Canis lupus familiaris: one gene and its partner. The protein of the gene in region 2 purifies or fractionates together with the protein of the main gene of each other region. This does not show direct contact. Links are inferred from orthologs where the notes say so. Each region holds a gene or a part of one and is shown on either strand. Other genes may lie near its edges.

Region 1 (3,906 bases), on a different chromosome or scaffold from region 2:
TCAGGCTCTCTGTATGGTGCCAGCTTCTCCCTCTGCCTGTGTCTCTGTCTCTCTCTCTCTCTGTGTCTCTATGAATAAATAAATAAAATCTTAAAAAATAATAAAAATACTAATCTGTTAAGCACCCAATCTCTCCTTTAGGCCTTTTTATTCATTATAATTTGAGGATACTAAGTTTTCTTGATATGCACCATACCATACTTGTTGGCACTCTCCCTCTAAACTAGTTTATAAATACACCAAATGATATGGAGCCTATGAGTCTAAAATCTGAATCTAGGGATGCCTGGGTGGCTCAGCAGTTGAGCACCTGCGTTTGGCCCAGGCCATGATCATGGAGTCCCCGGATTGAGTCCTGCGGATCGAGTCCTACGTCGGGTTCCCTGCTTGGAGCCTGCTTCTCCCTCTTCCCGTGTCTGTGCCTCTCTCTCTCTCTCTCTCTGTGTCTCTCATGAATAAATAAATAAAATCTTTAAAAAAAAAATCTGAATCTAAATCAAAAGCAAGATATATGAAGGATGCCTGGGTGGCTCAATTAAGCCTCTGACTCTTGATTTCGGCTAGGGCCACAATCAGGGTCTTGGGATAGAGCCCTGGGTGGGCTCTGAGCTCAACAAGGAGTCTGCTGGAGATTCTCTTTCCCCCTCCCTCTGCTCCTCATTGCACATATGTGCGTGCGTGCTCTCTCTCAAAATAAATAATAAGTATTAAAAAAAAAGGCAAGATATCTAAGACCAAACTTAATCTGGAAAAGATATGCAAAAAAAAAAAAATAGTTTGTGTGTGAGAAGAAACCCTATTACTTCTTCTGTTCAGTGCATTTTGTTAGCACCTAAATCTAACGTCATGAAACTGGACCCTAGTATAAGGTTATTCTGTAGCCACAGGTTAACCTGGGTAAATCCTATTGACCGAAAAGCGGTGGAAAGCTCCCGATGTCCATCTGTAAATTCCACCCCTGAATAATCAACTAAAACAAACAAACAAACAAAAAACAAAACAAAACCAAAAAACAAGAACCTCAGGGTGAAGGAGTACCATGAAATATGAAAGACTACACTATCAAATTCCTTCCTTAGGCAGTCTCAACGAACGCCACTATACTCAATTATCAACTATATGCTGATCGTGCCCAAACATATATTGAAATAGTCTTTTCAAAGCTCCAAAATCAAGTATCATCCAACTACGGCGCTCATGTGCAAACGCTAACCTGACATCTCAGTAAAAACAGACGTTTCCTTTCCACACCTGACCCTTCCTCCCCGCAGTCCAAGTGTTTCCACCTCCTGAAATGGCACCGCCAAGTTACCCCCGTCACAAGCTGGGAGTCCTACGCTCCCTTAATAATGCCCTCCACAGCCATCCCTTGGAGGACTCTCCGTTTGCACACCAGTCAGTAAAGCCTTAGGGGATCATCTACACGTAAACGACTTTTCCTAAACCCTTACAATAATTATGCAGATGAGAATACTTATTCTCCCCGTTTAATAAACTGAGACAAAAACAAAACAAAACAAAAAAACCCCACAAAAATCCCCAAATCCTTCGCCCCAGAGAAGACAAGAGCTCTCTCAGCTGGGAGGAGCCAGACTTCCAGGCCCGGCAGGCGGGCTCCTGACCTACACGCCATTCCGCCTCCAAAACCAGCTTTGCACCCCCTGCGCGTCTGTCCGTCCGTCCGTCCGTCCGTCCGTCCGCTGCCACCACTGCCGCACCCCCCGGCCTCCTGCAATCACGCCCTGGATCTAGGTATCTAAATCGCCGTTTTTCACGCTGACCGTCCTGAAATCCATTCTCTTCACCCTTCAAAATACGCTCTAGGTAACAGGGCCTCCTCGCCGTTTCTTCCCCAACTCCCGCTCTCAAGCGCTAACTGATCCCGCATCTCGGAGCTGACGCATCCTCGACCTCATCCGCTCGGGAAGTCCGCTCTCCCCCCGGCCGCCCGGGTGAAACCAGCCTTCTCCCTCGACGACCTTCCATTTTCTCAAGCTTCTGACCGCAGCCTGCAGACGCTGGTGTTGCCGGAGCCTCCTCCCACCGCCGAAACCTCCCCGCGGAAGAGGGAGGGACTGCGCCCCCACGTGCTCACCGCCCCGCCACCGCACCCGCAGGACAGCGCCCGGTCTTTGTGGCCGAAATGAATGGATGAAGGGCCTCGGGCGTGTGCGGCGTCACGGCGGCCTCGCCAGCCCCGCGATCCCGCCAAGAGCAAGCACGGCGTGCAGGCCGCGGGAGAACGTGGGGCTCGGGGCCGCGGACGAGGGTGTGTGGGGGGGCGGGGGTAACGGGTCCGCCGCACGGGCCCGGGCAGCGGAGGCAGGGGGAGGCGGGGGGAGGCGGGGGGAGGCGGGGGGAGGCGGGGGGAGGCGCGGCGAGCCGCATGCAGCCCGTAATCCGGGAACCCAGCGGGCGCCTCGCCCCTTCCCCCACCCGCCACCGCCGCCCGCGCTTCGCAACAAAGCCCGGCTGCAGGAGCGCGGGGCCCCGCGCCCCACAACGGGTGGCAAAGACGTCTCTACCCTACCGGCGTCCGCCTTCCGGTGTCCGAGAACGCAGCCCTCTCAGAACCCTCCGTGGCCGCGGCCTCCCTCAGAGACGCCCGCTTAACGCACCGCAGCTTGCGCGGAGGCGGCGGAGAAAATGGCTCCGACGGCTGCGCCAGGGGGGCGGGGCCAGCGCGCGTACGCATGCGCAGGGAGCGAGCTCGGGGCCGCGGGCGCCCCGGGGGGGAGGGGCGGGGCCGCGGCTACCGTGCCCGCGCGTGGCGTCCGGTTGCCAAGGAGATCCAGACCCCATTCTTCCCGTGCTGTGCTACCTACCCTAGACTCCCTTGGATAGATACGGAGGGCTGTAAATGATATAGATGTCAAGGACAGATATAGGGCTTAGTTCTTACATTAATTAACATCAATGTTTATTGAAGGGTGTTTTGTTTTGTTTTGGTACTAGGCACTATTGGTACTAGGAAATAGCCATAAATAAGACAGATGTGAGATCCTTTTCTCACAGAGCTTGCATTTGGAGATGACTTCTGTGTATGATAGAGTAGCTTTTAGCAAACCAATTCTCTTGCCAAAAGCAACTCCAAAATCTGAAGCAAAAAAAAAAAAAAAAAAAGTCAAAACAAGACAGCTATTTGAAGCATTAGAGGCAAGGCAGCTAATATCCTGGGGAAAGGGAAACATGAGAGCTTTTTAAAAAAATTTTTTTTTCACATCGGAGCTTTTGTGTCACTTTTCACTTTGATGCATTTGCTGATTCCTAAGCTGCCTAGGCTAAAAGCTAGGTAGAGCATTCAGGAGCCTCATGGTACTGGAGAGACAAAACCTGGAGTTCACCAAGGCACAGAGCCCAGACTTTCATCTGATACCTCCTGCAGGGGTACATTCTAAAAGCAAGGACAAACTCAGGTGAATGAAAACCAGCCTTGAATCATCTCACTTCCTCGTTGGACCAAAGTGCTCTAGCTTTCTCTTTCTGCCAGAAGAGGAAGACAGAATGACCTATAATTTCTATAATTTTTTTATAGAATCGCCCAAATTCAATAAAAAAAAAAGTCCCCAGGCAAGCCAGGAGACAAAACAAATGACTGAAAATCAAGAGGAAAAAATAGAACTATGATCATAAATGATTCAGATATTGAAATTATCAGAGACTTTATAAAAATTACAATTAGTATGTTCAAGAGAATAGATGAAAACACTGGAATAAATATGAAGTATCAAATAGAAATTTTATTTTATTTTTTTTAAAGATTTTATTTATTTATTCATGAGAGACACAGAGAGAGAGGCAGAGACACAGGCAGAGGGAGAAGCAGGCTCCATGCACCGGGAGCCCGACGTGGGACTCAATCCCGGGTCTCCAGGATCGCGCTCTGGGACAAAGGCAGGCGCCAAA
Region 2 (3,906 bases):
CCCCTTCAGAAAGCTTCCTACTATACATCTGGGCTTCTGAACGCAACATTCAAGTTAAAAATTTTACCGTAACATTAAATCAAGTGTGCTATATTATAGGTACTCTGAACCCACCCACCAGGTTATACATACTCTCACTCAATCATGTAAAGAATTGAATTCTTTATTTGTGATATCCATAAACGATGCTATTCTATATTTCTAACCAGGAAGGCAATTTTCTCCTATATCATTGTTTTGTTTTGTTTTTTTTTATAAACAACAACTTGAATTCTATTGCATGAAAGGGCTACAAATATACATTTGTTAACCAAGCAGAATACACAAATACTTTGCTTTACAACTTGCACCTAAGATACCAGTACACGTAGCTGGTTCATTAGTTGTCATAGCAATTTCGGGCCACTGCCCAAGCTATGCGTAGCAGTTTACATTTTCAAATCTTGTGTAGAAAGGGCAATTGTGATATGGACTGTTAACTACATTCCCATAAAGCCCATCTTCGTTACAAGTAAACGTGTAACCAAAGTCTGCACAGATCTTTGATGGCAAAATTTCTAAATCTGATGCAATTATCCTAAACAAGTTTTTAAAACAAATGGTTTTTGCAGAGATACTGCCATTCTGCCAGTAGATGGTGCTACAAAGGTTGGGGGAAGGATTTCCAAGAGGACAACAGTTCAGCTATAGGAAAAAACGTTTAAACCTGCTCTGAAAATACAAAAATGCATTTAGTTTAAGGGTAAAATATAACCCTTCTTTGTAACCATTTATTACAGACAAACCAGTAAGAGGGATGAAACTAGGCCATCTGAAAAATTTTAAACAGTTTATATGAATGAAAACACATGCTTAACACAAACTATTTCTTTTTGAACTACCAGTACATACTTTGAAGTAAATTCTCATAGAAAGAAGTGACCAACCATGTCAAGATAAGCAAATCGCTTAGTATGAGATGGATGCACAGAAACTTTGAAGATTTTAAAAAACTACATCCACCACTTCAAAAGTTTTGCCTGTAGGGATAAAACTCAACACGTCACTAGAAGAGCAACAGGAAAAAAAAAAAAAGCCACCAAAGGACCTTTTAAAAGTGTCTTCAAGTACACATCAAGAATTTAGAATTAACACGAAAAAATTTTAACTAATATCCCTTAAAACGGTACGTAATAGATCCTAGAAAAAAAATGTTAGACATATACGGTCAAACACAATGATTTATTAAAAATAAAACGTAAAAATGATTTTTGTACATATGTGTCCAAATTTCAGGCATGGGATCCAAGTAGATTTCATAGAAAACGCTGTAGCCAGATATCAAGTCCTTACAACAAAGTAAACTACCCCCCCCCAACCCCCGCCCAGGTTTTGCTACAGAATCAGCAAGTTCACTCCCTCCCCCCCCAAAAAAAAAAACACAAATTAAAACAAGACATTTTGCTAGTATAAAAACGACCAAGGTCCAAGTAATAATAAAAAAATAGAGTCCATCAATGACTGTAACACAAAAATGTGTATGTGGGGCCGAGTCCATCTTCAGAGGGAGAGACAAGAGAGGTGGCAGGCAAATAGGGCAACACCCCCAAGGATAAGCAGCCTTAGAAGCGGCTCCCCCAAGGGCAAAACGGGGAAGGCGGTGGTGGGAGAGTAAAGAACGTAGGAGTTACCCCAGCTGGGGTGTAGAAGAGCTACCCCTATAGCCACTCCCAGGCATATTTAGATTTCTTTTTAGAAGGAGCTGCCTCCATAACCACCGCCACCGCCGTAGCCGCCTCTGTAAGGTCCACTGTTACTGCGACCGCCCCAGCTGCTGCCACCGCCGCCGCCGCCGCCGCCGCCCTTCATGGGCCCGTAGGAGGACTGGTGCTGGCTGTAGCTGCCGAAGCCGCCGAAGCCGTTACCGTAGTCGCTCCCACCGTAGGACGAACCGCCTCCGCCGCCTCCGTAGGCATTGTAGCCGCCACCGCCGCCGCCGCCGCCGCCGTAACCACCGTAGCTGTTGTAACCGCCGCCGCCGCCGCCGCCGCCCTTGGACAGGCCGTTCTGGTCTCGACCCCCGCCGCGGCCCCGGCCGCCCCGGCCGCCCCGGGAGGACCGCGAGCCGCCTCCGCCCCCACCGGAGTGGATATCCTCCTTGGGCACGGCCTTCTTCACCTCCACGCGATGGCCCTGGATCGGGTGGAACTTGACAACCGCGGCCTTGTCTGCCGCGTCGTGATTCTGGAAATACACGAAGCCAAAGCCGCGCTTCTTGCCCGACTGCTTGTCGGCAATAATCTCGGCCTTTTCCACCGTGCCGAACTGCGAGAAGTGCTCGATCAGGTCGCCCTCCGCCACGTCTCCCTTAAGGCCCCCGACAAAGAGCTTCTTAACCTTGGCGTGGGCACCGGGCCGCGCCGAATCCTCCCGGGACACCGCCCGCTTCAGCTCCACCGTGTTGCCGTCCACGGCGTGGGGCGAGGCGGCCATGGCGGCATCGGCCTCCTCCACGTTGGAGTAGGTCACGAAGCCGAAGCAACGGGAGCGCTTGGTCTGGGGGTTCACCACCACCACGCAGTCCGTCAGAGTCCCAAAGGCCTCGAAGTGGCCGCGCAGGCCCGACTCACTCGTCTGCACGTTGAGGCCGCCGATGAACAGCTTGCACAACTGGGAATTCTCCATCTCCACGGCCCGGGCCTTCCCCCCGCCCTGCGAGCTCCGAGGTTTCGCCGTCGCCGTTATCGCTGGCTAAGGCCTCCTCACAGCTTGGGCCCAGCCGTTGCTGGAGCCGCCACCGCCGTCACCGACGGGGAAGGGAGGAAGGGAAGGGGAGGGAAGGAGGAAGAGAGGAAGGGGGAGGGAAGGGGAGAGGTGCTGGCTAGAGGGCGAGCCGAGGAGACTGGAAGACAACCAAGGCCGTCACTACCGCCACCGCTACCGCTACCGCTACCGCCACCGCCGCCACCACCGCCGCCGCCGCCGCCGCCGCCTCCGCTCCCCTATCTGGGCACCACACAAAGAGGCCGCTGAACGCGCGCGCACCCTCCCCGAGGCGTGCGTCACCGCCGACGTACGGCCGCCCAGCGCCGCCCGCCAATCCCTGCGTCGCTCTCCCTAGTCCCGCCTACCGCGCCGCGGCGCCGCTCTCGGCCACCGACTCCCCGCCCTCCGCGGTCGATTCAAGCCTTCGGCCTGCGCGGCTCCCGCCGCCGCCTCTGTAGGCCGGGCTTCACGCCCCGGCTCCCCGGGTGCCCCGACCACGGACGCCCCCGGCTCCCCGCGCAGCTCCGCAATTCCTCTCCTCCCAGCCCCGCGGCTGTTCCCAGCGTGCTGCCCCCTCCCCTTGCCGTATCCCCTCGCCCCACTCCGCAGTGGCGTTCGCGCCAGCCCCTTGAGGGACGTGCGGCTGCAGCCAATCACCGCGATGCGCTCGCGCCCACTTCCGGTCTCGGCCGCCGCTGGACGGGCGCGCTCCCCGGTGCGCCCCCCGGGTGCAGAACCTGCCTGCCGCCCGGACGCTGCCCCTGGTCCCGGGCTTGGGGCGGGGGGGGGTCAGCGGGGGCGCGCCGGGGGCAGTTCCCAACGGATGCGACCTGGGGCGCGCCACGCGCGGGCTTTTTGAAAACTCGACTGTTGGGGTTGGGGGCCTGGGCTCCCCCGCCGCGGTTCGGCGGGGCCGCTACACCTGGCAGCCCGGCCGCCCCGCCCGCACAAAGATGGAGGGCAGAGGCCTGATCGGGAAAGGCGGTTACTGACGGTTTCCCGGGGGCCCGAGCCTCAGGTAAAGTGCAGCGCGGGCGCGTGGTGCCGCGCAGGGGCGAGCCCGAGGCCCGGCGGAGGTCGGCGGCGTGCCACCAGCGGCTCCGACTTCCCATCGAGGCGCGGCGCCAGACCCCCGCCACCCTCCGGCCCGAAGCCCACGCT

Evidence for each region.
Region 1: the proteins of HNRNPA0 (region 2) and DHX9 purify together in Homo sapiens (affinity purification with mass spectrometry; 3 studies listed by BioGRID and IntAct, with this or other methods). This does not show direct contact. The link is inferred for Canis lupus familiaris from reciprocal best matches to the Homo sapiens genes HNRNPA0 and DHX9.

What each region holds. Positions count from the first base shown.
Region 1 is NC_049228.1:16,111,565-16,115,470, reverse strand, and holds the start of DHX9 (ATP-dependent RNA helicase A), read right to left. Parts: upstream 2,674-3,906; 5' UTR 2,531-2,673; intron 1-2,530. UniProt on the Homo sapiens protein: Multifunctional ATP-dependent nucleic acid helicase that unwinds DNA and RNA in a 3' to 5' direction and that plays important roles in many processes, such as DNA replication, transcriptional activation, post-transcriptional RNA regulation, mRNA translation and RNA-mediated gene silencing.
Region 2 is NC_049232.1:25,501,527-25,505,432, forward strand, and holds HNRNPA0 (heterogeneous nuclear ribonucleoprotein A0), read right to left. Parts: upstream 3,006-3,906; 5' UTR 2,665-3,005; coding exon 1,732-2,664; 3' UTR 148-1,731; downstream 1-147. UniProt on the Homo sapiens protein: mRNA-binding component of ribonucleosomes. Specifically binds AU-rich element (ARE)-containing mRNAs. Involved in post-transcriptional regulation of cytokines mRNAs.